2 linked regions of the Bombyx mori genome follow. The protein of the gene in region 1 purifies or fractionates together with the protein of each later gene. This does not show direct contact. Links are inferred from orthologs where the notes say so. Each region holds a gene or a part of one and is shown in the gene's direction. Other genes may lie near its edges.

Evidence for each region.
Region 2: the proteins of protein shuttle craft (region 1) and la-related protein 1 purify together in Homo sapiens (affinity purification with mass spectrometry, with the first as the bait; 3 studies listed by BioGRID). This does not show direct contact. The link is inferred for Bombyx mori from reciprocal best matches to the Homo sapiens genes NFX1 and LARP1.

The regions. Positions count from the first base shown.
Region 1 is NC_085123.1:3,121,750-3,125,249, reverse strand, and holds part of protein shuttle craft, read left to right. Parts: intron 1-1,289; coding exon 1,290-1,442; intron 1,443-2,266; coding exon 2,267-2,406; intron 2,407-3,353; coding exon 3,354-3,471; 3' UTR 3,472-3,500. UniProt on the Homo sapiens protein: Binds to the X-box motif of MHC class II genes and represses their expression. May play an important role in regulating the duration of an inflammatory response by limiting the period in which MHC class II molecules are induced by interferon-gamma.
Region 2 is NC_085117.1:2,878,319-2,881,818, reverse strand, and holds part of la-related protein 1, read left to right. Parts: intron 1-532; coding exon 533-683; intron 684-1,080; coding exon 1,081-1,143; intron 1,144-1,626; coding exon 1,627-1,758; intron 1,759-2,568; coding exon 2,569-2,666; intron 2,667-3,405; coding exon 3,406-3,500. UniProt on the Homo sapiens protein: RNA-binding protein that regulates the translation of specific target mRNA species downstream of the mTORC1 complex, in function of growth signals and nutrient availability.

The DNA.
Region 1 (3,500 bases):
ATGGGTGGACGAGCTCACAGCCCACCTGGTGTTAAGTGGTTACTGGAGCCCATTGATATCTACAACGTAAATGCGCCACCCACCTTGAGATATAAGTTCTAAGATCTCAGTATAGTTACAACGGCTGCCCCACCCTTCAAACCGAAACGCATTACTGCTTCACGGCACAAAAAGTGCTGAATCTGTACTGGCGCTTTATACTACGATTCGAGTAAAGCGATGTAAAAGTGCTGATGTGAATGCGCGCGTGCCATGTACGGTACATGACTCGTACAGGCCCCTTTAAACAAAATATATATAATACTATAGTAGAATTATTTTGTCCGTGCAGCTTGGATCATAAAACATAGCCCGGCTAGGGCAGTGAGCATATTGCGCGGGCGCAACGCCATTATGAATAAAAACAAATGAGTCATCGAGGGCACCTTACACGGCGGTGGGGTGGTATACGAAGGGTGGTGAGACATTGTTATGTTATGAGTCATTTGTACTTACCTGCAAATTATAGTACATTATGTCGAAGAGAAATGTGTTTTTATGCATTCGTTCTCTGAATTTCTTTAGTGACACAATGGTCACTCTTTGTTTTGTATCAAAACGGCAAAATTTATTTAAAATAGTATTTGCACGTGTTATTATCAACATAGTGTTAAAAATTTTCACTGAAATAAAAATAGATCCCGAAAAGCTACAAAATGTTAATTTCTGCCGTTCTCGTTAACTTTCTGCGGCGATATGTGGTGTAAGTGTTCGAGTAGTGATTTTTTCTTTCATTTTTATCACTAACCCACAAAATGATAAAACTAAATACACTATCGATAACGCTTATCGTCAACAATAATGCGCATCACTATGCCCGTCCATAAGACTCATGAGTGGAAGAGAGAGCGAAATACTCGCTTCACCGCTCCGATTTTTTATGACCCAAACTGCACGGACAAAATAATTCTACTATAGTAATCTATATATATAAAAATGAATTGCAGTTCGTTAGTCGCTAAACCTCGAGAACGGCTGGACCGATTTAGCTAATTTTGGTCTTGAATGATTTGTGAAAGTCCAGAGAAGGTTTAAAAGGTAGATAAATATGAAAATGCTCGGAATTCATTAAAAATAACAATTTTGTTTTCCCATTGATGTCCCCCCGTCGGACGGTTTCCTTTTGTTTGTGTCTTTTATTTATCGATTGAGGCACTACGAAGTCTGCCGGGTCAGCTAGTAATAAATAAAAAAATCGCACCCAATCTATTACGTTCGAATTTTAAAATTGTTATCAATTTTCCCCCCAGTCGAAACAGAAGACGCGCTCGCACTCTTTCCCGTCGATGAACAGACAGAAGCGGCAGTTCATCCACGAGCTGTGCGAGCACTTCGGCTGCGAGAGCGTGGCCTACGACGCGGAGCCCAACAGGAACGTGGTGGCCACTGCCGACAAGGAGAAGGTGCCTTACCACTGCAATTATTACCTTACGAGACGATGACCAAACTTTGCTCGTTTTTTTTTTTTTGTTTGATAAATTGTGTTTTTTAGAAATTATATTTAAATACGAATTACATAAAAATTCCAAGATCGTTTAGGCATTTTTAAGTGGCTTCGGGTGACTTAACAACGCCATCTGCTGAAATAGCTTTAGTGTTATTGTGTCTTTAAAGCAGTTAGTTGCTCTCAATTATGAAAAATAGTATTATTATTCGCCAATAGATGTCGGGAACAGTCATAAAGTTGATTATCGATAAAGTTGATTATTGAAAACACGAATAAAACAACATTTTCTGAAAATAAATCGTAGCTAGATCGATTTATCGCCCCCGAAATCCCTTGTGTACTAAATTTGTCGGTGGTAGCTGACACGATACATAAGTCGTGAAGTTTTTTTTTTATTGCTTAGTTGTGTGGACGAGCTCACAGCCCACCTGGTGTTAAGTAGTTGCTGGAGCCCATAGACCGCACGGCCGTGTAAGGCCGCACGGGTAGGTACCACCGTCTTGTCTATTTCTGCAGTAATGCGTTTCGGTTTGAAGGGTGGGGCAGCCGTTGTAACTATACTAAGACCTTAGAACTCACATCTCAAGGTGGGTGGCGGCATTTGCTTTGTATTTGTATGTCTATGGGCTCCGGTAACTACTTAACAACAGGTGGGCCGTGAGCTCGTCCATCTAAACCACAAAAAAACGTGGAGAAGGAAGAATTTCGTACATTGCTCTTTAGAGTCGGGTAGTGTAACAAGGTAATACAGTGTGTGATATTTGATCGTTGTGTTGACAGTCGTGGTTGCCGGCGATGAGCATAATGGAAGTGTTGTCGCGTGAGGCGGGCCGGCGGCGCGTGCCCGGCCCCGTGCTGCGGACCGCGCACTCCTCCGCCGCCTCTTCAGCCTCGACGACCTCCTCCTCCGCCGCTAACAAGTAACTATTAAACAATACTGTTGGGGTCCAAGGGGAAGTTTTTAAAGTTCCAAAAGAGTATGTTGTTTGAGCAACTTTATTATTGTGACGCGCTGAGGTTCGGGATAAATAAAATTTCACCAAAGTACAACTTAAAAACTGTATTCAACACTTAAAACACTTAATCACTTCAACACACTGCGTGCCATCCCTACAACGCTTTTATAGCCGGTACCTCATCGCTAGAATCATCGAGAATATTCCACACATCTCTAGTCGTAGTTCATGCTATCTGACCATAGATAGCGTTGTAATTCTCGACTATTCGGCGATAGATGGCGTTACGCTTACCAGCGTAACATTATGTTAGCTAAATACAAATGGTAGCGTGTTAACGAGTACATTTTGCTAAGTGCGCTGCTATACAAGAATATAATAAAATAATTAGATACCACAATGACGACGCACGGCGCGTCAACGTATTGAGTTATGTATGTACATACCGTCAATACAAATGATATTATTGAACGGATTCCTATCACGGCTTATGAATTCAGTGAGTTGTCGATATAGAAAAACGCCATGGTCACTGGAAAATTCAAGTCTTCCGCCGATAATAATCATTTATGTATATAGTGTTTTGTCTTTTCCTGGAAGCCTGGATCTCTACCAATTATTTGGAACAAATACAAATTGAAAAACTGAAACAATTGACATCCAACCCCATGCCTCTGAAGTTCGGATAAAGCTAATGATCCTGAACATTTTTTTTTACAACCCAATAAAATTATAAGCATTTCAAAATTTTACAGTACACAAAGAAAAAGATAAATTTAAAAGTCGTTCACTTACCTATAATTCTATAATTAAAATGTATTGTAATAATGTTGACTATACAAACACCAGTTTAAGTGAAACACTGATATATAGAAATTTCTAGATGATGACAATGCTTTTCTTGTCCGAAGGTCGCCAGGCGGTTGGGCGACGCTGACGTCATCGAACGCCTGGGCGTCGCGCAGTCAGCCCAAGCAGACGGCGGCCGAACCCAAGATCGATTACTTCGACAATCCGCCAGAAAATTAACTCAAAACGTAACAACGCGTCCATTGAAT
Region 2 (3,500 bases), on another chromosome or scaffold:
CCTAGACTTGAAAAGGTCACGATAAGAAGGTTATCGTATCTGTGTTCTCATATGCTGGTCTGATGCTGTGTAAATGGATCTACACGAGCTCCCACTGCCTGTTGTCGGAGGGCAAATAGTATTTCAAATATTATAGTGTTACGTGCTGGGGTTCGGGATAAATAAGCACTTAGAACACTCTTAATTCGCTTCAGGTGATCCCTTCGCTGTTTCGCTTCGAATAGTTACTGACTGACTGCGTGCCGTCTCTGCACGGCTTTTATAGTCGAGACGACATCCCTAGAGTTATCGAGAACAATCCTCACAAGTCGAGTATTTTCGGTGTGTGTTTCCTCGATCTGACAATAGATGGCGTTGTACTTCTCGAGCATTCTAAATGCTACTAGATCCTTCGATATTCGTTCGGCTATTCGGCGATAGACGGCGCTACTCTTACCGGCGTAACCATAGTATCGCATATAGAATGTTCTATACAAAAGCGCGCAATGGAACAAGGCCGTAGTCGGTAATGTGACGTGACGCGCGTGCGCAGGTCCGACGAGGAGTCGGACGCGGAGTTCACGGACGGCGATGTGGGGCGGCTGCTGATCGTGACGCAGACGACGCGTGCCGCCAAGCACGACGGACACGACCGCCAGGGGGACTGGACCAGCCGCACCAAGATCACGCAGGACCTCGAGCAGGTGGGTGCCGGGGCTGATCTCCGTCTTTAAGTTTAAAAAAAACTAGCGACCCGCCCTCGCTTCGCTTCGGAAACTGTAATTTATTATTGATTTCTCCACTATTTAATGGATGTTATTATACATATAAACCTTCCTTTTCAATCACTCTATCTATTAAAAAAAACCGCATCAAAATCCGTTGCGTAGTTTTAAAGATTTAAGCATACATAGAGACAGACAGATATAGGGACAGAGAAAGCCACTTTATTTTATACTATGTAGTGATTATGTAGTATGTAAGTGTGGGAGGCTAAAACGACAATAGGAAAGATCTTCCACCGAGCCGGTGATACTTTATAGTTAAAAAGAGGGTACTTTTGTTTTTTTTAACATATTCATAATTATTATTTTTAAACAGGTCATTACCGACGGACTGCGTCGTTACGAAGAGGACCTGTGGAACGACACAGAATATACTTCAGTGAGTGTTGGATTTGATTCATGATTTTTTTTTGTACCTAAGCTGGTGTAATCTAAGGAGTTATGCCAGCGTCAGCGAACGAGTAGGTGAGCTTACGGGGCTCTAACCTGACGACGCAGCTAACACTAACCCTAACAAGAGTAGTGCTTCGCAGAATCTACCACCGGATCGGAAACGCGACCCACTGAGAAGATCCGGCGAGAAACTCAGTGGGCTGTGTCTGTGGGTTCATTTACTCGTCGAGCCCTTCGTCGCAAGCGACGGGTTCGACGAGGACGGTGACCGGGTTCAACTCGAAAGACAATATATCCGATGGTAGATTTGCCGAAGCACGGCTCTTGCTAGGGCCAGTGTTGGTAACACTCCTGATTAGAGCCCCGTGAGCTCACCTACTCGTCAAGGAGAAGCTGATATAGTCTCCCAAGGCTATCAGCATAAGTAGAGAAAAAAGGGTTGAATTATTAATGAGTACAATTGTTACAGTCGTACGGTAGCGGCCGTGAGTACCGCACTGTGAGCCTGATCAGCCGTGAGCAGTTCGAGGCAGCCGTGCCAAACGAGCGGCATAGGAACCCCGCCCGCCCCCCGCCGCCCCCCGCGCACCCCCACCACCAGGTACACATGGTCGGATCGGATAATACGGCTTACCAGCAAATGGTTTACGCCTTCTTTTTTTTTATTGCCCTTGTAGGCCGACGAGCATACGGCCCATCTGATGGTGACTGATTACCGTCGCATATGGACTTCAGCAATGCCAGGGGCAGAACCAAGCCGCTGCCTTGCTACCTTTAGCCGAAATTGCAATCTTTAGAGTAAATTTTTTTAGAAAAACTTTTAAATATGTAATACTATTCTATGAAATGGTCAAATAATAGGGGTTAAAGTATGAAATTGCCATGCAAAATTGAAACGGACTACCCTTTTTTTCGTGATTTGGAAAATTTTCTACGTGATAAAAAGCTTTCTTCCCTGGAGGCAGTACAAAATGCTTTCACACACTTTTTAGAATTTAGATCACTAGAGTTCTATCGCAAAGGCATAAATGACCTTCCTATTCAATGGCAGCAATGTATAGATAATAATGATAGATATTTTGATTAAATAAATAATATGTTGAATGAACAAAAAAAAAAAACAAATTTCAATTTTGCGGTACAAATCGACAATTTCATACTTTAACCCCTAATATAATATTGGCAATATTTATTAATTATAATGCATTAGTCTTACCCTGTTAAAAAAATCACGAAGAATTTGATCGCGTTCGGGGATCCATTTAATACACTTAAAGAAATAACAATGTTTACGAGATTAAAGTTTAACAGAACACGTCGCGTCACGACACGCCACGACAAGCTACTCAAGATCATGTATACAGAACGCGTCGCATTACGACAAGACACTAGTATTAAATTGTTTTCGCAGGTGGATCAGCAGCCGGCCGGTGGCGGCAAGGCGTCTCGTCCCCGGCGAACCGCGCGCTTCTACGCGGCCAGCAAGGACCCACACGCTACCGATGTCATGTCAGTAAACATGCCAATATTACATTTATTTTTAACACGCTTTTATTAGCTTCAGACATATGAGTCGTCTATTATCAAAGGTGGCAATCTGTGCATTTGGACAAAAAAAAATTATTGATATGTCAATACAGATTGATTTGAATATAATCGTCTCCTTCAAAGAATACGGTTCAAAACCTGCATTAAATAAAGGTTAATAGTTAACCTGTTATTTATCTAAGATGTCGTTCCGAAGAGTTTTGTGACTGCCAATGGAATACAAAGTCAATAATTCGTTTTTCTGATTTACCAATCATTGTCCAAAAGTCAGATTGCCGGCTTTGATAATAGTCGACTCATATGTATGTTTGTAACGGAATCTTTCAACATGATTTTGACCCCCTTCAAAACGTCGTGTTAACTCGAAATTTGGTATACTTATTAAGGACCGATGACAATTCAATATTAAAAAAATAATTGAAAATATTGAAATTCCACTAAAAAATTAAAAATAAATACTTAATAGTTTAAAAAAAACAAAAAAATACGCTTTTATAGAAAATACAACTAAAAAATAGAAAATAAATTTTAATAAATTTGAATTAAAAATAGTGTAAGGAAAAATGATTTTTTTGTAAAAAAGCGTGGGGTGCATGGTATCAGTAGTCGACGAACAAGTCGACGTTTAAACCACCCAAGACTACGCCCCACCACTACCATCCGTGCTGTGATTAAGGATACCCTGAATTTATATTTGCAGCTGCAGCAGGAAGCACAAGACCAGATACAGCCTCAACCCGCCCGTGGAGCACCACGTCGGCTGGATCATGGACGTGCGCGAACACCGACCCAGGA